7 linked regions of the Xenopus tropicalis genome follow. Each later gene encodes a partner of the first gene's protein in a complex. Links are inferred from orthologs where the notes say so. Each region holds a gene or a part of one and is shown in the gene's direction. Other genes may lie near its edges.

Region 1 (3,500 bases):
TTTAATTAAAAATTTGTGGTCATCAACAATATCTTACCCTACTCTCTTTTTCAGGTGGTTCCCTGCCATTCTCTTCTGCAGACTGTAAATGATGAAGTGGTCTCCTACATTCAGCACTTGAAGTCTTTAGCTTTTTCTGTATACTGCCAGTGCCGGCGACCCATAGCCACACAAATACCCATCAAGCCTCTCACTGGCTTTGGTCCAGCAGCCGCTCTAAATGCAATACTCAGGAATCAAGAGGTGATTATTTTAGAAACTGCTTGATGCATGTACAGTGATTATTTTTAAACCACAAATATCTGCAAAAACAAACACAAATATGTGCAGTAACCCACTAAAACCAGTTTTTGTTTGGTTTCTACTAGAAGTTGGAAAATAAAAATAAATGATTGGTTGCTGTTTTTTTTGCGCCTGTGTTTGTAAATCAGCCCACTCAGTGAATTGCAGTTCTGCCTACAGTTTGTAAACAGTATGTGGGTGAAAGACTCAGACATTTCATAGAAATATAAAGAATGATATACAAATTGTTATATAAGTTTAGTACTGTTAGGGGCTCTGTTATATAGATTACTTGGAACCTGGGGTTTTCTAGATTTTTTTTTTCTTCCATTTTGGATCACCATACCTTAAGTTAACTAAAAAGAAATCTTAACATTGACATTAAATAAATCCAATAGGATTGTTTTGCAGCAGTATGAATTTATTTAGCTTAGTTACAAGGTACTGTTTTATTACAGTGCAGATGGAAATAACTAAAAAATTAACTGCATGGGGGATGGCAAAGTTTTTCAATAAGAGATCCCATACCTGTAAAAGTGATGAAATGCCAATGGAAAAAATGGAGAGGCATAGAAAAATTGTTGGAATTAGCGGTTGAATTATAGGTTAATGGTGGACAGGGTTAGAATGCAGTCATACTACTATACAAAGGCCACTTACTTGCTGGTTTGGTATGATTTTTTAGTTGGCCAAAACAATCAGATTTTCAAATAGCCCAATGCAATCCTTTGGTAAATTTAGCACACCACTGTATATGCAAAAGTGAGCTACTGCTGTACCACTGCTGTAAAAGGAAATTAATGTAAGGTTCTAGACTCTGAGTGATGTTAAAATAAACATTTGCATGTGATCTTGAAGTCAAAAGAGAAGTAAATATTGCACGTTCCTAACTTCTGATTTTCATGCCTGACAGCAACCTAGCCCTGGACAGATGTATTCTCCTCCATTTTTGCTCTCCCCCACCAAGGACAAGCAGACAGAGTTGGGTGAGACATTTGGTGAAGCTGGACAGAAATACAATGTGCTGTTTGTAGGTTACTGCTTATCTCATGATCAGCGCTGGCTTCTGGCGTCCTGCACCGACCTGCAAGGAGAGCTTCTGGAAACTTGTGTTGTTAATATCCATGTGCCCAACAGGTTGGTAAAAATATTCTGTATGTCTTAGTTCACACAAACAGCAAGAACAACCATATACTTCTGCTGATATGCTACAGTATTGACTTACTGTAATTGCTTCTCCTAGTGTCCCTGAGAATTATATATGCTGTTTCTGTGGATAGAAGGAGCAGGTAGAAAATGTAGCTAAAAGTAATATTACATTGATAATTGTCTAGAAGAACCATCAGAATGCATAATGGTAGAATGGACATAAAGAATTGTCTTCTGTTAGAGTTTTTTTTTTTTTTTTTTTTTAGAAACTCTATTATCACACTTTATATTTTTTTGGTGTGTTGATAACTGAAAAGTGAAGTGCTAATGTGAAAAAGACTAGAGACTGTATTATATAGTTCTTGTCAAGCTAGTCTTGCAGTAAGTCTATGTGAATATTTTGATCAGTAAAATAATTGTAATCACTTCTCAGGTTTCGGAGGAGCAAAGTTTCAGCAAGAAAGATAGGGCTGCAGAAACTATGGGAATGGTGTGTGGAAATTATACAGACAACATCATTACCCTGGAGAGTGGTGATTGGCCGTCTTGGACGACTAGGCCATGGCGAGCTGAAAGGTATATAGGTAAAATTAGTGAGCTGTTATATCAGCAACCAGTGACTGATTGCCTAAGACTATTCTGTTCCCTTTGCAGATTGGAGTATTCTGCTTGGAGAGTGCTCTCTACAGACCATCAGTCGTCAGTTAAAAGAAACATGCAAAATGTGTGGAATCTCAGCAGCTGATTCTCCGTCTATACTTAGTGCCTGTCTCGTAGCAATGGAACCCCAGGGATCTTTCACTGTCATGCCTGGTGAGACTTATCTTTTCTGTATTCACCTAAAACATCTGCCCTTTGGATGAAGGGAAAATGGTAGTTTTGCATTGCTATTCAGAGATTGATCTTTACTGTGATTTACTGTGAATACCATGATATTACCTATGATTATTTGCTATAACAACACATCAGCACTGACATGTGTCCTTTTAGGGGACATTGAGTTAAGTTCCTTCTTGCAGGAAACAGCAATTTTAGAATGGGTAACAGACTTGCTAATATTTTTACACATCCTGAGCAGTGCATTGTAGGCTTTGATGTTTTTTGGGTAGGAGTGGCTGTCCAAGGGATTTGCATGGCCCTCTGTCTGTCCAAGCTGCATTGCATGCCATCCTAGTTTAATTATAATTGACCCATAAACATGTTCATTATGAACTTGCTGACCACTGTCTTTCTTTGTGTATTTCAGTCTGTTGGTAATGTCATTATTAGTTTTTATGTGACTCAACACAGTATGGCACCCAGCATTAAACAGTTATTACACTGAGATTTGACATTTCATTTCAAAACAAAAATGTCAAAATGTCCTGCCTATCTTGTTGAGCCAGAGGGAAATTCTTGCAGGTGCCTATGATGCAGAATGATGCAGAATGATGCAGTTCTACTAAAGTATTCATGAATGTAATAATATGACTTTGTTTGTCTTAGAGTGTGTTCAGGCATGGCAATGCTGTTCCTGTCTCACCGGGAAGTGAAAGTCCAAGCTATTTAACCTTAATGAGTACCTTCAGTAGATTAGGAAGCATCTTGGCTTCTGTTTTTCAGACTAATATCACTGATTGCAGTGACTGTACCCCATGTGTGATGTCAGGAATAGAGTGCAAGTTGCTACATTTGCCTGGCATCTCTCATCTCTGGATTACAATAAGGTTCAATTTCAGGGCTGAAGATGTATGCTCTAAATGTGTTAGTGTCTGTCTCAGTGAACAGAAAGACTACAACAACATTGTTTTTTGTATTTATGACCCCCAAAATCCTGTCACAAATCATAGGTATTTTGATAATAAAAAAAATAATAATGGTACAGAATTCCTGTGTAAATGCATTTTAGGTGTTTTCATTTTCTGGTGTTACTGGACCTTTAAAAACCACTCGCCAGTGTAACTACATTGTATCACATATGATTTGTTCTCTGAAGCGTGCATGCTTTTCTCACAGATGCTGTCACTATGGGTTCAGTGTTTGGCCGCAGCACAGCTTTGAATCTACAGACATCTCAGCTGAGCACTCCA
Region 2 (2,799 bases), on another chromosome or scaffold:
AAAATGTTGTTCTGGTCCAAGGCGTGAACATTTGAGCAAGTCACTAAGACAGAACCATTGTACAAGAACTAAATATCCATTTCGTTGTTCTGTTTTACAGCCACAGACCAGTGTCCCACAAACACAGCAGCCTTTGCACCATATGCAGCAAGCGGCTCAGGGCATGCTTCCCCATCAGGCCATGGGCCAACAGATGCAGCACCAGGCTCCCGGCCAGCAGCAACTCCAACTCCCGGGGCAAACACTTATGCACCAAGCCCCCGCGCAGCAATGGGGGAACCAGATGCAACAGAGAGCACCAATTCCAGGTGAGGAGGTTTCACACCAGGGGAAACGGCAGTAGCAAGAGTGGCAATAATTGGTCCAGGCAGGTCACTTCACACTGTTGCCCACTCACAGTTTGCATTGCCCTTTAAACAGACACCCTGAGAAATTCATTTACAGCAGGCTAGGGGTTTTATGATCCCCAAGGAGTGGCTCAGGGGCAACATTTTGCTCCCCAACCCCTTGGATGTTGCTCTCAGTGCCCCCTGACTTGGGGGCAAGTTTTGGTTGAATAAAAACAAGCTTTCCTACCAAATAAAGCCCCCTGTAAGCTGATAGGGTGCATAGAGGCTGCCTAATAGCCAATCACAGCCCTTATTTGACTCCTCCATGAACTTTTATGGTGCTTGTGTTGCTTTTCACGTCTGTTTACATTTGACTGTGGCTCACAACAACAGTTGAGGACCACTGGCCTATACTAATACTTGTATCTTATTTTGATCCTTATATCATCTCATCGTTGGGAGGTATACATATAGGATTCTATTTTCTTCATCTCCTTGTTTCATTTTGTACAACACAAAGTAAATCCTGCAGGTCTGACCACTTTAAAAGCTTCCTGTATATATTACCCATCATTCTTTGTGAACCCACCATTGACCATACTGTACAGGTGTTCTAGATTATATAAGTGACCGAGAAACACCCTAACCTGAGGTCTTTATCATTAATTAGTGCTTTTTAAATGATAAATAAACCTTTATAAAATAAGTAAATGTAAAATTATTCTAAGCACTTTTGCAATTTACATTAATTTTTTTATTCCAAGATATTAAGGGAAATGTGTACTGTTAATACAAATGAATTTTGCAACAAAGGCACCACCTGTTGGTCAGTTTCCGACCATGATGTCACCAAGGAAGTTGTCAGGCGAAAGAAAGAGGGCTGCTCTGATGTTCTTCTGCTTAGGAAAGGTCATCTGAGGTTTCTAATGATTTTCCTAAGCAGAAGAACATCAAACCAACCCCTCTTTCTTTCTCCTGACAACTTTCTTGACTGGATCATGGACAGAAACTGACCAGTAGGTGGTGCTGTGTAACAAAATTCATTTATATTGACATTAATGTTTGGTTTCAAAAAGGTAAATGATACCTGCTGGATGGCTGTTGTGGGTAACTATCAGACTTTGGGGCATATTTATTATAGTGTATTGGCTTATACACTATAAAAATAATCCCCTTAGTGTAGACTTGCAAGACATTTATTTCATTGTGCTGCATATTTCACAGGGAATTTCCTTCATAAACCTTCAGGAATTGGCCTGAATGGTCATTGTGTGCATTCCGTTGCTATGGTATTACTATAAAACAATCCCTATCATACTAAGGTATAAAGGTTCAGAAGCCTGAAGCAGTCTGTTTGACACTTGTGCTTTGTTTTTCTGCTTTAGGGACACTGATGATGAGCGCGGGACCTCGAGGCCCTGTCCCTCAGCAAGGCCTACAGCAAGTGCAGGCTCAGAGTGTCATGGAAGACGACATCCTAATGGACCTTATTTGAGGATAAGCTAAGGAAATGAGACTCTACTGCCTCCAAAATGATATGAATCCTGCAGGATTTTTCTGAATTCATCAGCTATGAATCACCTCTTGTCATTTCCTCGCCTTCTTGATTTATTAACCGACAGTAGCCTAAATAGGAATTCATAGGGCGTGTTCAGACTCATCTGGTCAGAGTCGCTAAACTGTTGAAAGCTGCTTGGCCTCCTGGTTCCTGTGTCGGCAGTTTGGTCCCCATACAGGTGGGTATAGAACTCTATCCTCACTGGTGCTTATATTTACCGGTGGGATTGGTCCCTGTTTCCAGGAAGTCACGGACAACTAACTGAACTGCTTCAGTTTTGACCATTGTTGACTCACACGTCCTTTTTACAACACGTAGCAGACTTTTCTTTTGTTATATTGTAAAATGAGCTTTTACAGGTATAAAATAAGATATGCCATGAAAAAAAAAAATAAAAAAACGTTTTAGAAAATCCATTGTGGTCATTTTAGCCCATAGTGAAGTATCGCTCCAGTAAGTCGTCTCACAGTGTATGGGAGGGTACTGCCTGGGGTTATGGATTACAATCAATACAAGAAATGAAAGGGATATACAATATTGCTAGTTACCTAGCTGTCTGAAACATATGTATGTAACACAGGGCAATATTTTATCTGCATGTGTGGTCGACTGGTATTCTACTGCTGTCATAGTTAATGTGCCAAGAAGCCACCACTCTGTTGTGCATTTATTGATACCGAAGAGCCAGAAATCTTATCCTAAAGCAGTTTTCTGCCTTCCCTGGATTCTGCACGTCTTTTAAAAGGAAGCTTCAGTGCCATAAAGCGTGAGTTAATCGCTGTGATTGGACAAGTATATTTACCTCTTTAATGAAGATCGAACTGGAGGGTTCCAACCTGGTACAGACCAACTGTTTCACAGACTTGTTTGTATGATGTCTCTATTGCCTAGCCTTATGGTATCTCTGTGTAC
Region 3 (4,000 bases), on another chromosome or scaffold:
GTTCTGGGCACACAATAAGCTGTACCCCCATACTGTACTGTCTAAGGGAAACACTATGGCACCCCCTACCCATATGTATAAATACAAATATACAGAGAGGGAATGTTCTGGGCACACAATAAGCTGTACCCCCATACTGTACTGTCTAAGGGAAACACTATGGCACCCCCTACCCATATGTATAAATACAAATATACAGAGAAGGAATGTTCTGGGCACACAATAAGCTGTACCCCCATACTGTACTGTCTAAGGGAAACACTATGGCACCCCCTACCCATATGTATAAATACAAATATACAGAGAAGGAATGTTCTGGGCACACAATAAGCTGTACCCCCATACTGTACTGTCTAAGGGAAACACTATGGCACCTCCTACCCATATGTATAAATACAAATATACAGAGAAGGAATGTTCTGGGCACACAATAAGCTGTACCCCCATACTGTACTGTCTAAGGGAAACACTATGGCACCTCCTACCCATATGTATAAATACAAATATACAGAGAAGGAATGTTCTGGGCACACAATAACAAAAAAGAAAGTCTAAGCAGGCACTGCCCACACAGGCTTTTCAATACAGATAATAAGGGAAAGTCATATTCAATTTGGGTCCCAATTTCTTAGGGCCCTTATGTGCTAACCAGGGGCCCCAGGGCCACTGTATCTCTATGGAATTATCTTTATTTACTCGCTCTCTGAGACCCCCCAGTAACAGGATCAGGGTTAGAGAGCAATCCCAGCAATCCCACAGGCACCAATAACACTGTCTCTTTAAATTCTTCTTGATTCTATTTATCCTGAAACAACATAGACAGACTGGCGACTCTGTAGCAGCAACTCCACAGCAAAAGTGTAGCCCATGGAGGATTATGGCCCCCCCCCCCCCTTCCATCATAAATGGAATATAAAACCTGAATACAATTGTCCAATAGGCAGCATCGCCCTCTAGCGACCAAAAGAGGTATCACACTGAACGCTATTTAGCAAGTTGGCAGGGAACGTCCAGTGTAGGTAGAAGTACACATGCGCAGTCTCCTTTCCGCCGTTACAACCCCGCCTCTACTGAGGCTGGCCAATAGAAATAGGCGTTTCTCGTTCCTCCTATTGAGAAAACGCCGCAGTGACCCTTAGCCAATAGAAACCTTTATTGTACCAGTTAGCCAATAGGAAGCGGCGCTGAAGGTATGGGCGGCTGGTTCGGCTTTGCCAGCTGGAAAGATGGCGGACCGGCTGACGCAGCTCCAGGACGCGCTGAATTCGGTGAGCGCTTTATCTGTGTGTGGGGTTTGTGGGGTTTGTGGGGAAGGGAAATACATCCTCTCGCTGCCCGCAGTTGGGTCCCATCTCGGCTTTATAGTCACATTGTAACTAATGGTTTATTCCATTCATTGCTCGCAGCCCCCACACTGTGTCCAATGGATCTTATTACCCAGAACCCCATGTCTATGAGGGTTCCCTCAGCTGATGCGGATTATATCGCCGCCCCATCCCATATATATCCCCGTATATCCCATATATATCCCTGTATATCCCATATATATCCCCGTATATCCCATATATCCCCCTGTATATCCCATATATATCCCCGTATATCCCTATATATATCCCCCTGTATATCCCATATATATCCCTGTATATCCCATATATATCCCCGTACATCCTATATATCCCCCTGTATATCCCATATATATCCCCGTACATCCTATATATCCCCCTGTATATCCCATATATATCCCCGTATATCCCATATATCCCCCTGTATATCCCATATATATCCCCGTACATCCTATATATCCCCGTATATCCCATATATAGCCCCGTATATCCCACATCCCCCTGTATATCCCATATATATCCCCGTATATCCCACATCCCCCTGTATATCCTATATATCCCCCTGTATATCCCTATATATATCCCCGTATATCCCTATATATATCCCCGTATATCCCATATATCCCCGTATATCCCATATATCCCCGTATATCCCATATATCCCCGTATATCCCATATATCCCCGTATATCCCATATATATCCCCGTATATCCCTATATATATCCCCGTATATCCCATATATATCCCCGTATATCCCATATATCCCCGTATATCCCATATATCCCCGTATATCCCATATATATCCCCGTATATCCCATATATATCCCCGTATATCCCATATATCCCCGTATATCCCATATATCCCCGTATATCCCATATATATCCCCGTATATCCCATATATATCCCCGTATATCCCATATATATATCCCCGTATATCCCATATATATATCCCCGTATATCCCATATATATCCCCGTATATCCCATATATATCCCCGTATATCCCATATATATCCCCGTATATCCCATATATCCCCGTATATCCCATATATATCCCCGTATATCCCATATATCCCCGTATATCCCATATATCCCCGTATATCCCATATATATCCCCGTATATCCCTATATATATCCCCGTATATCCCATATATATCCCCGTATATCCCATATATATCCCCGTATATCCCTATATATAGCCCCGTATATCCCTATATATAGCCCCGTATATCCCTATATATAGCCCCGTATATCCCTATATATAGCCCCATATATCCCATATATAGCCCCGTAAATCCCTATATATATATCCCGGTACAGATAAGTACTTGCTATTGGCAGCAGTGCCCAGCTCCACCCCCAGGTTCTGACTCCTGACACAATGTAGCAGGTCAGTTTAATACCAGCCTATTAACTCCCTCAGTGCCAGGGGGGCATTGGATGAATGGAGTTGTAACCCCTCCCCTTTGTCTCTCCAGCTGGCCGATCAGTTCTGCAATGCCATCGGGGTCCTCCAGCAGTGCGCTCCCCCCGCCTCCTTCAGCAACATCCAGACGGGCATCAACAAGGACCAACCGCCCAACCCCACTGAAGGTGAGAGACTGCGAGTGGCCCCCAAACTGCCCCGTTACCCACCCAAATGCCATTGTAACCACGCCCACTGCGCACTGACACACCCCCAGCACTGACTACCAGACCAGCACACAAAGGGTGTGAAACTGTCTGTCACTGCTCTGTGTGTATCAGCCAATGCGTTTATAGACACGGGGTAGGAGTACCGGGAAATACACTCCCCCGTGCACAGGAAGCAGAGACAGTCACACGGGTACCAGGAAATACACTCCCCCGTGCAAAGGAAGCAGAGACAGTCACACAGGTACCGGGAAATACACTCCCCCGTGCAAAGGAAGCAGAGACAGTCACATGGGTACCGGGAAATACACTCCCCCGTGCACAGGAAGCAGAGACAGTCACATGGGTACCGGGAAACACATTCCCCCGTGCACAGGAAGCAGAGACAGTCACACGGGTACCAGGAAATACACTCCCCCGTGCACAGGAAGCAGAGACAGTCACATGGGTACCAGGAAATACACTCCCCCGTGCACAGGAAGCAGAGACAGTCACACGGGTACCAGGAAATACACTCCCCCGTGCACAGGAAGCAGAGACAGTCACATGGGTACCGGGAAACACATTCCCCCGTGCACAGGAAGCAGAGACAGTCACATGGGTACCAGGAAATACACTCCCCCGTGCACAGGAAGCAGAGACAGTCACATGGGTACCGGGAAACACATTCCCCCGTGCACAGGAAGCAGAGACAGTCACACGGGTACCAGGAAATACACTCCCCCGTGCACAGGAAGCAGAGACAGTCACATGGGTACCAGGAAATACACTCCCCCGTGCACAGGAAGCAGAGACAGTCACATGGGTACCAGGAAATACACTCCCCCGTGCACAGGAAGCAGAGACAGTCACATGGGTACCGGGAAATACACTCCCCCGTGCACAGGAAGCAGAGACAGTCACATGGGTACCAGGAAATACACTCCCCCCTATATTTATATCAAAACATTATATCGATTGTTCTGCTTTAGTGCCTTCATACTCGTTTCCCAGTCTGTTGCTATGGGCCTCTGTAGGGGAAGTTCA
Region 4 (4,297 bases), on another chromosome or scaffold:
ATAGAGAAGCATACAATTCCTCTTAGAGCATAGATTTTATGGGTCTTGGGGCATAAATACTATGTATTAGGTCTCTGCAGGATTGCAAATGTGCCATAGGTATGTTCAAAAGTATGTTCCAGCTGAGGACAAGGGCCAGAGGGAAAAGAGGCAGATGGAGAGGAGGTTCCTTCTATATACTGGTCCCAGTCCCTCAGCATTCATTGAGGTTAACCAAGCAATTCTGTTTTCACTTGTTTAACCCATACACAAATGTCATGTTGGGATCCAGGTAAAAGGCAGGTTTATTACAAAAAACGAATAACTGTGTAAAATGATATACAAGTTATATTTTTATGTGGGTATTTGTCTTATGAAAACACAAGTAAAGCAATGCATTCAACTGAATGCAAAACAGTTTGAATAAAATGTTCAGTTTACTTGTGTTTATTGAAGTAATCCCAGTGAAAAATCAGATAACTATATATCTGCTGTCTAATCTCGTTATACATATTCTGCTTCTGCTATATTTCTGCATGTCCCATGCTACGTACAAATCCTTTTCTCTTTTTTTCCCATTTATTCTTTTACAATTTTCTAAGGGACCAGTCTGCTCTACAATTGGTAGTCCAATTGGTAGTCCGGAAAAACGCTTGCTGAAAATACCGCATAAAAACGCAAGACTTTGCATTCTCTCAAGTTTTTATGTGTATTTCGGCTACATGTGCCTGAACCCAAGCATATTCCATTCATTCGGGTGCAGGCACAAGTAGGAGGCGTAGGGCGGTATTTTCAGGATGCATTTTTCTGCTTGCCGAAAATATACGCCCTATGCCTTGTCTGGCATTAGCCTAAGGCTGATGTCAGACGTGGCATATTCTCGGCAAGTCGAAAAACGCTTGCCGAGAATACGCCCTCTGCCTACTACCAGCTACGCTCTGGTGCAGGCACAGGTAGGAGGTGGAGGGCGTATTCTAGGCAAGCGTTTTCCGGCTTGCTGAGAATACACCACATCTGACATCAGCCTAATAATGCAAAAGGTGGCAACACATAGGCCAACCTGCCATTTATCCGATTATGGCCTACACCTGGCCAAATAACCCTGTTGCATTCCTTTGGGCCCACTAACTGATGGGAATTTCTGCTATTAGTATTTTTATGTTGGACAGATGGAGTGCAAATTTTTTGCAGAATAATCAACCTGTGTGTCATAGTCATGCATTATTTTCCAAATTGGCTAATTCTTTCCACTTTAATATAAGTCAATATAAAAAGAAGAAAAGACATGGTGAACACAGTCTTTATAAAAGTTGAGAAATGTTTTTTTACAGAAAACATAAGCAGTGAGAATTTGTGCGTTCCTTGTGAAGACACAAAAATGTAAAACTATAACCAAAAAACAGATTTGAAATCATTGAAATGTATACGTATGTTTGTTAACGCATACTTCTTTTATTCACAACTAGAGGCAGACTGAGTTCCGTGCTGGTGTGTGTTTCCACCCGGGACATATCAGCGTTGCACACTGGGTCTTCTTCCTGGAATCTCTACATTTCGGCTTTATAGACGCTAGCTGTGGGTTGTTGTGACGTTCTTGGCAGCGTCACAAGCAGCGGTCCGCTCATCCTTAGGCGGTGTTCGTTTGGCTCATTGATGGCGGGGAACTTTTGGCAGAGCTCTCACTAGTAAGCGTTGTTTTATTTGTTTTGTCTATAGGTAGTAGGCTGAGCTGTCGCCATCTTTAAAATTCCCTAGCACTTCACTATGAGCGGAAAAGATTCTAACCTGCTGCCTTGCCGTTCTCAGTATACCAGTGTTTTGAGACTTGCAAATTGTGAATTTCTTTGCCTGTAGTGAAGTACAGGCCTTTTTGTATTTGCTGTAGCCCTATAATAACCCTTTTAATAAAGTGCAAGTTGTTGTGTTAGCAATATACAGTCTGAAATGCAGAATAACTCATTGCAAATGAGGTCCAGGTCCAGCATTTGATCAGTTCCATGGCTTTGCTTATAAGCACAAAACAAAGCCCTCCATCTGTTGCACTGTTGCACATCCACTGATAACTATCAGGAGAATGCTGGGAGCTGAAGTTCCACTAAATGCCTGGGGACCTCAGGTAGGTCATTTTTGCCATTAAGACATCAAAATGGTTATTACAAGGTCACTGAAATATTAAAGGAGACATTCGTATTTTACATCAGTAAGTACATTTAAAGGGGTTGGTCACCTTTGAGTTAGCTTTTAATATGATTTAGAGAGTGATATTTGGAGACAGTTTGCAATTGGTCTTCATTTATTGTAGCTTTTTTTAGTTATTTCATTTTCATTTCAGGAGCTCTCCAGTATGGAGTTTCAGCAGCTATTTGGTTGCTAGTTACCTTAGTAACCAGGGAGCTGTTTGGATGAGAGACTGTTAAATGAATAGGAGAGGGCACAAATTGAAAAAAAAAAAAGCTACAAAAACTAACAACTATAAAACTGCCTCACAGAGCATTAGTTTTTGTGTTGCTGGGGTCTGCAAAGAGTTGGAAGAAGAAAGAGTTAGTTAGAATTGGTCATTCCGTAACATACTAAAAGTTAACTTAAAGGTGAACCACCCCTTTAAGAAGGGGTTGGATGACTTTTTACGATCCGAGCCCAGCCCTTAAGGTGGCGATTTGCGATCTTTCATGCAACCATCGGTCGCACACCGTTCAGGGCTGAAACGGCAGATAAGGAGGTAGAAACAATAGGATTTCTACCTCCTTCTGCCGATTCAGCGCTGAAGGCAGATTTTGGTCAGGCGCCTTCTATCGCGCCCGATCAAAATCTTTTAACTTGCCCGGTCGGCGAGTCGACCGATATCGGCAACCTCCTGCGATATCGGTCGACTCGCCGATTTGCCATACACACACCGAATATCGTACGAAACGAGGTTTCGTACGATATTATCGGTGCGTGTATGGCCAGCTTTAGACTTGGCCAATACATGAAACTACGGTTGGCTGAAACATGGAGATTGTGCGCAAAATTGCACTTGGCCCACTTCATCTAGGTAAGTGAATGTGCTCTATGGACTAATAAGAATTTGACAAAATAGCAGTGCAAAAGAATTGAAATGATATATTTTTCTAATTTTTTTTTTTTTTAATTTATTTTAGTTTGCAATGGATTTTGGACAAACAAGACTTATTAAAAGAACGACAAAAAGACCTAAAATTTTTAAGTGAAGAAGAATATTGGAAATTGCAGATATTTTTTACAAATGGTAATCGCATGTTTCTTTTAGAAACCTGGTATTTTATTATAGGTGCAATATTTTTATTGTGCTATGTTACTTCTGAATATAGATTGTTATTGGGATGCAACCCACTCAATAGCCCCCACACTGTTTGTTTCTCTTGCTACATTCGCATGAAACACATACTCATTTACATTAAACATTCATCTTATTTTCTTTCCTTTGCAGTTATCCAAGCTTTAGGAGAACACCTTAAATTACGACAACAAGTCATTGCCACTGCCACTGTTTATTTTAAAAGATTTTATGCCAGGTGAGTTTGCTGAGAGGGAAAGGACTTGTATGTGTTTTTGGTTTTATGGTAATGCCCTATCCAGTGCCAGCAGCACTAAGCAAAATTAGTGGTGTATGAGTGTTAAAATGTCACAATCCAGCTGTGGCTTACCACTACACCGTAGTGTCTTTCTGTGATAGTTAAGCCCAGACTTTCCTCAGGCAGTGCATATTATTTGAGTGTAATCATAGACTGGAAAAGTACAGGCTAATGACTGAACATTTAGTAAACATATACTTCGTCTAGGTAGGTGAATGTGCCCTATTAAAGGTGGCGACACACGTGGCGATCTGACGATGTTTAGTGCGACCATCGGACCACACCGTTGGGGCTGAAACAGCAGATAAGGAGGTAGAAACAATAGGATTTCTACCTCCTTCTGCTGATTCAGCCCTGACGGCAGATTTTGGTCAGGCGCCTTCTATGGCGCCCGATCAAAATCTTTTAACTGGTCCGATCGGCGAGTCGACAGATATCAGCAGCTTCCTGCGATATCTGTCGACTCACCGACATGCCATACACGCACTGAATATCGTACGAAACGAGGTTAAGACTAAGATTTTGACAAAATTTTTCTTATATTTTAGATCACGTTGTTGCTATAAAGCTGTGCTGTATCTTGTATGTATTGTTTTACATTTAATGTTTACAGATCCAACTTTTCAATTTAAATGGAATTGTTACTCTATGGTATGGCCTTTATGCACTTATGTTTTGTTGATATAATTTTTTTGTTTTTCATATTAGGTATTCTTTAAAAAGTA
Region 5 (4,073 bases), on another chromosome or scaffold:
GATCATACACACGTGGATGTCTCCCTTTGGAAATCACGTGGAAATCTCCCTTGTCACGGGCGACTAATCTCCCCGATATGCCATCCCACTGGCTAGAACGTAAATCACCGGTGGGATGGCACACGCGGTGCAGCGATTTGCCAAAATTGTTGAAGTTGCATTGAGAGGAAACTTCGCTGATTTTGGCGCCGCATATGCCATCCCATCAGCGATTTACATTCTAGCCAGTGGGAAGGCATATCGGGGAGATTTGTCATGCAGCGACTAATCTCCCCGTCTGTCACAGCCCTTAAACTGCAGATTTAGGCCCTTCAGACTGATTCGGCAGCTCAGCCATGGGGCCTTCCATTGGGCCTACCCAACTGATATCTCCCAGAAAATCCACCAGACATTGATAGTCAGGTTTGATTCAAGGACTGCGTCAGCTGATTGCCTGTGGCCAATCAACTGGATTAGCCCAATATCACTCACCTTAGCTGGGCATATTGGGGGAAAGATACGCTGGTTTGACAACCTTGGCAAACAAGCAGATTTTATGGCGTATAGCCGGCTTTACTTTGATTTCCACAGCAAAAAAAAATGATCAAATGTTGGTAAAATGCTTCCACATGAGTTGTATATATAAACATGCATGTGTTATCTGCCTTAGTATTTGCATGACACAATACAGATATTTCATTAAGAGCATAGGAAGTTCGGCAAAACATCCATTTGGTTCATAAGAAACTTAAGGGTCGCACATCTCAAGTGGGGACAAATTGCCTGCTCCAAGAGCAAGCAGAAGCCACACAACAGGATGTCCTGAGACAACATATGACTGATTTCTCCAAACTACAATAAAAACTCTGCTTTTCTCGGAACAGCAGCTCTATGCATGTTCCCATAGCTTGGTGCAGTGACTTATAGTGTAACTGCTAGCAAGCCACAGTTTAATAATCCCTAGGATGTTCGGAATCAGCCAAAGGGGGCTTACTCAGGTACAGACGTGTAATGTGTGGCCGTCACTTTAAGGAAGGAGTGGCTACAACAGACCGGCTACAAATAGCGGCGTATACTTTCGCATGTACTTAATATGTACACAATCCCCTCTTTGTACCTCTGTATCTCCTTTTTCTGCCATGTCCCCAGAAGTTTCCCCCCACCCCTGTCTTCGGGTCTGGGGGGCGGATAGGCATTCGAGACTGGAGTACACAAGTCCTACCCCCTCTGACCCGGAATTACTCTTTTTTTTCCAGAGGCGAGCTCTTACCCGGAAGTGCTCCGTCTGAACGTGGAAGAAGTGACCGGAATCTTTATAGCCCTAAGGAGAGGGATTTGGCGGAAAACGTGAAAATGCAGGTAAGATTGACATAAGACGTGTTTCATTAATGTTTATGTTAGTGCAAAGGCGGAGTGGAATTGTTTTCGCTAATTTGTATGTAAATATTTAGTAGCTGTTCTTATCAAATAACGCTACTCCGTCCGTAAAGTAGACCTTTTGTGTCTGCAATGAGTAGTACAACTGACATTTAGGGGCTGATTTACTAACCCACGAATTCGAATCCGAATTGGAAAAATTCCGATTGGAAAACGAACATTTTGCAACTTTTTCGTATTTTTTGCGGTTTTTTTCGGCGCCTTTACGACTTTTCGGAAATTGTCGCGACTTTTTCGTTACCAATACGATTTGCGAGTTTTTCGTAGCCATTACGATGCGCTCGTATCTTGTCGCGACTTTTTCGTATTGAGCGCTCGGAAGCGGCGGCCGAAACTTTCAGACTTAGCATGATTTTGGAAGCCTCCCATAGGACTCAATGGCTCCCTGCAGCTCCAATCTGGCCCATACTGAAGCTTGAATGAATCCGAACGCTACGAAAAAATCGCAACATTTTGCGCAACTTTCGGAATGGCTACAAAAAAAGCGCGACTTTTCGCGTAAGTTTTAACGCTACGAAAAAATCGCCAGATTTTGCGCAACATTCGGAATGGCAATGAAAAAGTTGCGATAATTTTCCGAAAAATCGCCAAATACCGATCATTACGAAAAAAACGCAATCGGACGCATTCGGCCCGTTCATGGGAAAGTAAATGTGCCCCTTAGTATTTTACAGAAAGATATAGTCTGTTATTTGGTGGAGAAGGCAGTGATCCTGAAATTACATTTGAAATCCAGTCACTTATCAAATCATGTCACTTTCACCTAAGAAATAGTTCCAAAATACAATCATTGATCACCCAAGATGCTGCCAAAATTCTTATTCACTCTCTTATAATATCTCGCCTGGACTACTGGAACTCTCTGCTAATTTCACTAAATTCACTCTGTTCTTTTGCAATTCCACTGTAGAACTACAAATCTATGGCAGCTATTTAAAAATGCACTAACAATCCAACTGATGCAACACCTTCTCCTGCTTATAATAATTTAAAAAAAAAACCTTAGATCCTTTCTACACTCCTGTTGCTTTCAATAATTAAGAGTGCAAACTACCATATAATATTCTTTTTGGATGGGTGCTTCACAGCTTAAACATTTGCCAGAGGTTAAAAAAGGCATAAAAACAAAGGTTAAAAAAAGGTTTATTCATACGAAAAAGATATGGTCCCCATGAACTACATGGACTGAAAGCCAACACATTCAACAATTCAACTAGACTTAAAAATGGACAATCCCAGAAAATAAACCCAGACATCAGGCTCAGAACAAAAGGAAAAATAAATTTATAATAATGATTAGGCGAGAGTCCAACCTTATCCTCCTCCCACCCCCTATACTGCTGTTATGAATTGGACCCATTTCTTTGTTACTCTCCCAGTTCTCATGCAATTTCACTGTCAAATTTGCAGCAGACCTATGGTAGATATGGAAATGTGTACATATTCTTTCTCTTAGTCTGCTCATTTCTACTTCTTCTAACAGAAATTTATCACTAACAGCATCAAACTGACATCTAATTTCATTCAGTTTAATTTTCACTTCTCTTTTTCTTCTGACATGCTGACTGCTGTTACCTATACAGGTATGGGACCCATTATCCAGAATGCTTGGGACCTGGGGTTTTCCGGATAGGGGGTCTTTCCGTAATTTGAATCTCCTACCTTAAGTCTACTAAAAAAATTATTTAAACAGTAATTAAACCCAGTAGGATTGTTTTGCCTCCAATACGGATTAATTATATCTTAGTTGGAATCAAGTAAAAGGTACAGTTTGTTTTATTACAGAGAAAAAGGAATTATGTGAATTATTTGATTACAATGTAGTCTATGGGAGATGGGCTTTCCATAATTCTGAACTTTCTGGATAATGGGTTTCTGGATAAGGGTCCGATACCTGTACCAACAATCTATTACATTGTTGCGCTTCAGTACTTTTCGCATTGGGCCATCAACTATTTGAGTCAGTCCACCAAATTTCACTTAAGGTCTGTGTCAGAAGTTGCCATTAATTTGCACCAAATATTGCAAAATTGCACAAATTAATTTTCCTGCTCTGCTGCTTTCCATTACTTATAACAATAACCAATCACATGGACAATCTTTAATACTACTGCTGCCATTAAGCTTACATCCTTCTGCAAAGTTAGTGGTAGACATATGGCAGCTTACATAAGAAGTTCTTAATTATGATTAATATGGACAGTAAAACTGCCATAAACATTTTTTGCAATTGCATCTTCTTTTCTGCTGATTCCCAGCACATGTGCTGCTGTCCATTACTGAGTTTAGATGCTGACTCAATATTCTGTATATAGAGAATATAAATGTCAAGATATAAGGGTAATAGTAATACCCTTATATTACTACATGGCAGCTCTGAAACCAGTGCAGCTAACAACAGAATTTAATAATCAGCCCTGCAGGCAAGTTTGCACAACTTCAAAAAAAACAAAGCAATGCATAGGCCTTTCCACCAGCAATTCACTTTATTGCTGGTGGAAAGGCTTTTTGGGCAGATTAGTTGCAGTAGCAGAGATTTATCGCGGATGACTAATCTCCCCGTGGGCCAATAACCTTAGGATGAAGGCCCACGGGGAGATTAGTTGCCTGAGGTTAAATCTCCTGCAGGAAACTTCATGCAACTTTGGAAAATTAAG
Region 6 (3,733 bases), on another chromosome or scaffold:
GGTAACAGTACATTATATTGTTATTGCTTTTATACGCTTTCATATTTTGAGGTTACTGTTCCTTTAATAACACTACTTGTTAACTCAAATACTTCTTGCCAGTACTTTTGTATTTTAGGGCAGTTCCACCAGGTGTGCACGAGTCCCTTCCTGTCCACATTTTCTCCAGCACATTTTAGTGGCTGTTTGTGAGACTATTCTTTAATTTTTCATGCATACACCCATTTATTTTACAATGCTGTGGAATATGTAGTTGTTTTATTAATACATGCAATAATTATAACAATTTAAAAAACATGACATTAAGTATGATTTAGTATATATTTTTTTATTTTTTTTACACGTTCTGACCTATATCTGTGTACACTAGACATTTGTTGGTACATTAGTTGGGCAGGTTTGCTAATTTAATATAACAACACACCATATCCACCAGTGCTGGGTGCATCAACTGATAAATTAGTGAATAAGAGCTGCAGCTCCTGTTATTGCTGTCCCAAACAAACAGAACAACAGAAAGTTGCACATGCCCTGGACAGTATGTATGTGTTCAGATACTGCATTGCATTGACATGTCTATGGTCACACTAAGCCATGATGTACACACCCAGCTATTTCAACAACACCAGAAAAGGCTCTCTATTCCTGCTTTAGAGTCATTTCTAGTTATCTGAAAATACTAAAGTTCATACTCTATGTAAATAGAATAGGTTGGCAAAATGTTTTGTATAAGGATTTCATCCACTTACAAATAAGTTTTATTGCAGAGAAACCAGTTTTCTCGAGCAGGTGTATGTATTTCTTTTTATAGTGCCTGTGCCCCAGGGTAAAAATAGCTTTACAACAGAAAGGTACATAATAAATCAAACAAATAAGTAAATGCACATACATATTACCTTACAAATGATTTCTAGAATCTTGTAGGTGGAAGAACACAATTTTGATATCTGCAGAAAGCTTATTGATTGATGCATCTGATTTTGTAAATAATTTAGAAGTTCAAAAAATGTTAAACTGTGAAAGATCAACTTTTATAGCCACTCATGCAGCACCCGTTTTTTTTGTATCACAAGTTAAAGGGGCAATCTAGTTAATGTATTTAAATAGGCAAGGAAAGGTTAATTCACTGGAGGTGCCAATATGTTGGGGCTCCTAGTGTATTAAATAGGTAAATTTGTTTTAACTCACCAACCCCCATATGTAAGAAGAGGCACTCGGTAGCTCAGGAGCAGTAACCCATAGAAAGCAATAAGATGTTTGCTTTTAATCGGGTAACCAGTATATTCTACCTGCTGATTGGTTGCCTTTCCACCGGCAGCAATAGGAGTCGCCAGGTGGAAAAGTCTATGCATCACTTCAGCTTTCCAAAGTCGCACAAAGTTGCCTGCAGGATGTGTAGCCTTAAGGTTCTTTTCCCACCTTGCTCCTTCAAATCTATTTATCCTTTTTTGCACCTTTCTGTACAACATTATTTCTATAGGTACATTTTTTACCAAAACTCTCCTGACACCTAACCTCTCATTCTGAAACCAAGGGTGTTAGTATAGTATCAAAGGTTGGTTTTCTCTGCTTTATTCAAATAGCTGTAACTCATTTTAATAAGTTAACCTCTCTGCTACATTGCCACCCAGCTACTAGAATGGCTAGAATTTGACTCCTAAAAAGAATTTGCACTTTAAATTCCAGCAGCGACCCCTGTCACAGAAGCAAGAGCACTTGTTTGTATTATGACTGCAAAGCTCAGAAGGATAGCAGGCAATTACATGGTGGTACAAACCAGCAATGCTGTCTGGTTACAGGGTTCTGCTGGAATTTCAAGTGTTAAGATGCTATTTGGGCTGTGCCATTGGCACCCTTGGACTTTAGACTGAAGCTGACAGTTGAAGTACAAAGGATAAGAAGTGGTGGCATGTTTTCTGGCAATTAAAAAAGATACGTTTTTCTTTTGTTCAATTTTATAATGTGCTAAATGCAATGTCGCAAAGTTGTTTCTGTCCATTTATTTCCCATTTAAACTGCCACAGGGTAGGCAGCACAGTCAAGAATGTCATCATACCTTGGTTTGCTTTTATGTATGTATGTATGTATTTACATACATTTTACTGGAACTAGGGGCCCTAGTCCTAAAAAACAGCCCCAGACCATTGTTCCTCCACCAAACTTTTATAGTAGGTATTATGAATTATTGCAGAAAGCATTTAATTGGTATTCACCAAACAAAGACCTGTTGGTCAGATTGCCAGATTACCAGAGGTAAACTGCAAATTGAGAATTAGTTTCCACTGCTCCAGTAGCATTGAATCCTAAACCATATAGCCAAAACTTTCCATGGTTTTGCCATTAACAAAACAGTTTTTCTTGCTTAATCACTTTTTGGAAGCCTAATTAACTTTAGCAGTAACTGTTATCACATATTAAAGCCTTTAATTTTTTTTTTTTCAGGTAGTATTCTTGACCAGGGTCTAGAGAGCCTCCTCCATCGTTTACGTGGTTTATGTGACAATATGGAACCTGAGACATTTGCAGATCATGAGAGTGTCTACCTTCTCAAGGGTCAGCAGGCCAGCCCCTTTGTGCTACGAGCACGTCGCCCTTTGGATCGGCCAGGTGCTCCATGGCACCTTAGGTATCTGGGTCAGCCTGAGGCTGGAGACAGAAGCCGCCACACGCTAGTGCGTAATTGTGTTGACATTGCCACCTCAGATGTTCTTCCTGAATTTCTGCAGGAGATGGGCTTTCGTATGGACCATGAGTTTGTGGCACGCGGCCACTTGTTCAGGAAAGGGGTTATGAAGGTGGCAGTGTACAAGGTGTTTCGGGTGTTGGTAGCAGGAGCAGCAGAGGGTGCTGAACCCTTGTCACTTTCATACCTTGTAGAGCTTAGTGCAGTGGCGCCAGCTGGTCAAGACAATATAGCTGATGAAGTCAGGGGGTTTGCAGAACAGCTCAGACCACTCGTGCAGCTGGAGAAAATAGACCCTAAACGTCTGATGTAAAGGGGACATTCCAAAAAACAAGACTCAAGATTGTGTGTTTCTGGTGAAAACCGTTTACACTGCCATAATTCATTGGTTTTTCTCATGAGCTGAGATGGCATGAAATTCCTCTTGACTGTAAAGGGACCAATGTCAAGTTCTGCTGGTTTCATTGTGACACAGAACAGCATCTGCCACTGTATTGTGCAGACCAGAAATAGAATGATCTGTTTTATTATTAAATTTGTTTTATTTTTCCTGTTGTGTTCAGTATTGTCCTCCTGACCTGCAAATTTAAAACATTTTTACACATATTTACTTTGAAAGATCCATGTAATTTTTAGCTTTTTTTACTTATCATTTTTTCAGGCACTCCCCTATTGATCTCCCATTCTGATAGTCAAACTGCTGCCTGGTTGCTAGGGTAGTTAAGCTCTAGTAACCAGATAGCAATTGAATTTCAAAGCATGAGAGTTGCAAAAAAAATAAAAAATTAAGTCTGTCACATTGTACTTGAAAGCGGATATCTACATAATAATTTTTAGGTCTATGGCACATGTTGGGATTAGTTGCCTGCGATAAATCTGCTCTACCCTGTGGTGACTAATCTTCTGAAATAGCTTTCCCATTGACAATAATGTAGATTCTCTTGCAATCATACACACAGCTGCTAAGCTTGAGTTGCCTGTTACGGTTTATGATGTTACCAATTTATTATTACTTAAAGGAGAAGGAAAGGCAAAGTCACTTGGGGGTGC
Region 7 (3,500 bases), on another chromosome or scaffold:
ATATATATATATATATTTATATTTACATTTTGGTCCCATAGCAAATTGACCAAACTAAGGCCTGTGGCCTTGTTCTTTTATATCCTCATCCTTGACTGAAATAATAATTTGTAAGTAAAATAAAAATTAACAAATAAAATAGCAATGTTATAGTTTGGACTAGAAAGCAGAGTATGTAATAAAACTAATTAACGAAAGTGGCATTTCTGTGTCTACTTTTTGTAGGTATGATTGATACTCCAGGCGCTCAGGATAACAGCAGTCTACGTTCACTGATTGAAAAGCCACCGATCTGTGGAAACTCCTTCACTCCACTAACAGGTGCCTTGTTGACTGGATTCAGACTGCACACTGGACCAGTGAGTATAATGTTTTTTTTTTTTTTGGTGCTCAGGGAATAACAGACAAAAAGGGTGGGGGGAATAAAGCATTAGTTAGGTAACATAAACCAATTAATAAATATTTTTATGAATAGTTTATTTAGATAAAACTGGGTTTTACATATAGGCTGTTTTTATTCAACATATATTTATTTATTTTTTTATAGAGATGCACATTGTTCAGGTATATAGTTTTCTTTATACTTGCTTTGGCCAGGCAGTACCTACAAAGCTTTGGTATGATGCAAAATTTTTTAATCTAATATATAGTGATAATAGTTACTTCAACATTTTATATAATTATTGTGATAATAGTCTTTAACTTTTAGACACTTTTTGTGCAGAGTTCTTAAAATCTGACTACTTGCTAAACAGTCAGATATTAATTGTAGTAGAAAAGGTAGTTTCCAGTTAAGGAAAATGGCAGTGACCGTACATTTTGTTGCCTGTGCTACTGTGGGTGACAAAACTTCCCATCAGCAGTAATATGTAACACCAGTGGGGGGAAAACGTGTTGCTTACGCTTTCTAAAGTAGCCCAAAGTTGCCTCATGAGGTAAATTCAGGCTACTTTGCAACTCTGTACAGAATCATCATTTCAGTATACAATAGCAATACAAGCACTGTCTATTCTCATGTGGCCTTGCCAACATGGGTGGATTTCTTTTTTTAAAGGAACTGTAACACAATTTTTTTCCCTTCAAAATATCCTTTCTATACACTTTGATTATTAAATAAATCATATAGAAATTTCCATAGCAGTTGTGTTTTTTTACGTCTCTGATTTCCTCTCCATGCCCCATCTGCTAATAGCGAAAAATCACTCAAAATAGACTCTGAAGAATGCAGCATATTAACTTCCAGATTAAACCGAAAGTCTAGCAGTTACCGGATTGCCTTTTCAAGCTCTGCACAGTAAAGCATTGGTAATGTAATTTATTCTGAAATCACGTAGAATATTGCATTTTTTTAAATGCTACATATCTTAATAAAGTATTTAGAAGGGACATGTTAAAAGTTATTTTTTGTGTTACTGTTCCTTTAAAGAGATATTGACGCTTAAAATAAAACTGTCTTTTAAATAAATCATTACATTGTCTGTGAATCATCTTTATAATTTTGCCAAAACATAATTCCTGATGCTTTTACATTACCTATCTGATCCCCATGTTCCTCTATCAGGGGGCATTTGTGCAGCAGAAGTCCGTTAGCATTAGAAGCTATAACTGACAGGTTGAAAAGGAACAGTCAGGTTCAGGAACTTTAAGTAACACTTACTTACAAAAGGAGCCCTATCGGTGAAAAATGGTCAAAATGACCCATAGGCAACTTTTTATATACATTAATATTTTCAAAAGTAGTTTTTTCATGTCAGTATCACTTTGAGGTTTTGGGAGATTACGCCCCCTCTAAACCTGCCAGTCAATAATAATCAAAAGTGACAAAAAAAAATTCTGACCTCTTGCCTGTACCTGCTGTTCCTCAGCAGGAATATCTCTTCCAAGACATAAGAGGCCTGCTCACTAGATCTCCCTGACTGTACACAGAGAAACAGCTGCCAGGGTAACTGTACAGACAAGAACCAAGTATCCTCTACCTAGTGGGGCAATGCCAAAATGTGAAAAATATTTCACCTGACAAATACCCTCTCGATGACAGAAATGGCTATTTTTATGCAGCGCTGCTGGGGTTACCTGTCAGGTGAGACACCAGTGGGGGAGGGGGGGCACACCACAATGTTTTTGGGAAAAATGTGCCACAGTCACAGTTTCGTCACATGTAATAAGGGCAAGATGCACACTTCCCTCTCATTAAAGCACTTGTGTTTTAAAGGAGAAGGAAAGGTAAAAACTAAGTAAGCTTTTTCAGAAAGGTCTATGTAAATAAAGCCATAAGCACTCACAGAAAAGCTGCACTCTATCAAAAGAAACTGCGGATTTCTTGTCTCCTTTTTTGTAAACATGTTCTTGGGGTATCTGATTTCTTCTCAGAAAAATCCTTCATTCTAGGTGCCAGTGTCTGCGCAGTTCTCTCATTTCTCCCCTCTCCTCCTCCCCCCTTCCATAAGAATTCATAAAACTCACTCCTCCTACCCTGGATGCGTAGTGTGACGTTACATGAATTGTGTACTTTACGTTAAAACATATGCAACCATTGTATCAAGCAATGACAAGGCAGAGCAGTGTGAAGGGTTTAAAATTGGGGCAAACTCCCGTGACCCCCAATAAATTGTCTGACTTCACCTGGACCCCTGAGCAGTTACAGAGGGGTTCAGTGTAAACTGTTGTGATACTGCCGGGGTAATCCCTCTGTTTAGGGATGGTTTTTCCAGGCATGCATAAATGTCCTCTTTCACACCTCTTTAAAACCATCTGTCCTCTCTGTCCAAAATATGCACATCACCGTCCTCAAGAGTGTCCTTTTTCCTTGAGGTGTAAATAGACTGTTGAGTCTTGTCCTGAGGAGTTAGCCCTCCTATGTTGGGCCATTCTCTTACAGAGAGGTTGTTTTGTCTCCCCAGTGTATATGTCAGAGCACTCTTCACTGCACTGCACTGGACAGCATAGACCAGTATTCAGACTTAGGTCCAGTAAGGAACAAACGTGTTCTGGGTTCAGCTTTGTTCTGCTGCTGAGGGGGGGGTGTCTTGTTTCAGCCGTTTCCTCACTGTTTCAATTGCCTCGGTAGTGGGTATGCATGTGAACAGAGATGTAACATCAGAGGACACCATTGTTTCATTGATATCCAGATTTAACTCCTGGACTTTTTTGACAAAGTCCATGGAGCTCTGAATGTGGTGTACTATGTTTCCAACTAAGGGAGCTAAGATGTTAGCCTGAGGAACATTGCTAAATTTGTGGCCAACTCCTCAGGACAAGACTCGGCAGTCTATTTACACCTCAAGGAAAAAAAGACTTAATTCTGCTAAATACTGTACATACCGAAGTTGTTTTTAAACTATCAAAATGTATTCAAACATCTGTTAACCCTTTCACTGCCAGGGGTTTTGGACAAAGCGGAACTTGTACTGCCAGACAGTTTTTGAACATTTTGCACTGTTTCACTTTAGGGGCCTTTCCTCGGGGGGACTTTTAGTTTACCCAGGAAAACAATACATTGT

The links.
Region 2: med13l (region 1) and med25 share a complex: the UniProt entries of both Homo sapiens proteins name them as parts of the mediator complex. The link is inferred for Xenopus tropicalis from reciprocal best matches to the Homo sapiens genes MED13L and MED25.
Region 3: med13l (region 1) and med21 share a complex: the UniProt entries of both Homo sapiens proteins name them as parts of the mediator complex. The link is inferred for Xenopus tropicalis from reciprocal best matches to the Homo sapiens genes MED13L and MED21.
Region 4: med13l (region 1) and ccnc share a complex: the UniProt entries of both Homo sapiens proteins name them as parts of the mediator complex. The link is inferred for Xenopus tropicalis from reciprocal best matches to the Homo sapiens genes MED13L and CCNC.
Region 5: med13l (region 1) and med8 share a complex: the UniProt entries of both Homo sapiens proteins name them as parts of the mediator complex. The link is inferred for Xenopus tropicalis from reciprocal best matches to the Homo sapiens genes MED13L and MED8.
Region 6: med13l (region 1) and med18 share a complex: the UniProt entries of both Homo sapiens proteins name them as parts of the mediator complex. The link is inferred for Xenopus tropicalis from reciprocal best matches to the Homo sapiens genes MED13L and MED18.
Region 7: med13l (region 1) and med19 share a complex: the UniProt entries of both Homo sapiens proteins name them as parts of the mediator complex. The link is inferred for Xenopus tropicalis from reciprocal best matches to the Homo sapiens genes MED13L and MED19.

What each region holds. Positions count from the first base shown.
Region 1 is NC_030677.2:145,412,000-145,415,499, forward strand, and holds part of med13l (mediator of RNA polymerase II transcription subunit 13-like), read left to right. Parts: intron 1-54; coding exon 55-243; intron 244-1,195; coding exon 1,196-1,419; intron 1,420-1,864; coding exon 1,865-2,007; intron 2,008-2,085; coding exon 2,086-2,244; intron 2,245-3,426; coding exon 3,427-3,500. UniProt on the Homo sapiens protein: Component of the Mediator complex, a coactivator involved in the regulated transcription of nearly all RNA polymerase II-dependent genes.
Region 2 is NC_030683.2:117,441,895-117,444,693, reverse strand, and holds the end of med25 (mediator of RNA polymerase II transcription subunit 25), read left to right. Parts: intron 1-100; coding exon 101-308; intron 309-1,714; coding exon 1,715-1,824; 3' UTR 1,825-2,299; downstream 2,300-2,799. UniProt on the Homo sapiens protein: Component of the Mediator complex, a coactivator involved in the regulated transcription of nearly all RNA polymerase II-dependent genes.
Region 3 is NC_030679.2:3,066,179-3,070,178, forward strand, and holds the start of med21 (mediator of RNA polymerase II transcription subunit 21), read left to right. Parts: upstream 1-1,200; 5' UTR 1,201-1,226; coding exon 1,227-1,268; intron 1,269-2,820; coding exon 2,821-2,935; intron 2,936-4,000. UniProt on the Homo sapiens protein: Component of the Mediator complex, a coactivator involved in the regulated transcription of nearly all RNA polymerase II-dependent genes.
Region 4 is NC_030681.2:82,030,211-82,034,507, forward strand, and holds the start of ccnc (cyclin-C), read left to right. Parts: upstream 1-1,497; 5' UTR 1,498-1,632; coding exon 1,633-1,664; intron 1,665-3,119; coding exon 3,120-3,226; intron 3,227-3,427; coding exon 3,428-3,512; intron 3,513-4,280; coding exon 4,281-4,297. UniProt on the Homo sapiens protein: Component of the Mediator complex, a coactivator involved in regulated gene transcription of nearly all RNA polymerase II-dependent genes.
Region 5 is NC_030680.2:88,535,262-88,539,334, reverse strand, and holds the start of med8 (mediator of RNA polymerase II transcription subunit 8), read left to right. Parts: upstream 1-1,273; 5' UTR 1,274-1,332; coding exon 1,333-1,338; intron 1,339-4,073. Other genes in the region: KICSTOR complex protein SZT2, read right to left, coding at 1,097-1,120. UniProt on the Homo sapiens protein: Component of the Mediator complex, a coactivator involved in the regulated transcription of nearly all RNA polymerase II-dependent genes.
Region 6 is NC_030678.2:78,270,751-78,274,483, forward strand, and holds the end of med18 (mediator of RNA polymerase II transcription subunit 18), read left to right. Parts: intron 1-2,442; coding exon 2,443-2,996; 3' UTR 2,997-3,233; downstream 3,234-3,733. UniProt on the Homo sapiens protein: Component of the Mediator complex, a coactivator involved in the regulated transcription of nearly all RNA polymerase II-dependent genes.
Region 7 is NC_030683.2:55,878,314-55,881,813, forward strand, and holds part of med19 (mediator of RNA polymerase II transcription subunit 19), read left to right. Parts: intron 1-225; coding exon 226-359; intron 360-3,500. UniProt on the Homo sapiens protein: Component of the Mediator complex, a coactivator involved in the regulated transcription of nearly all RNA polymerase II-dependent genes.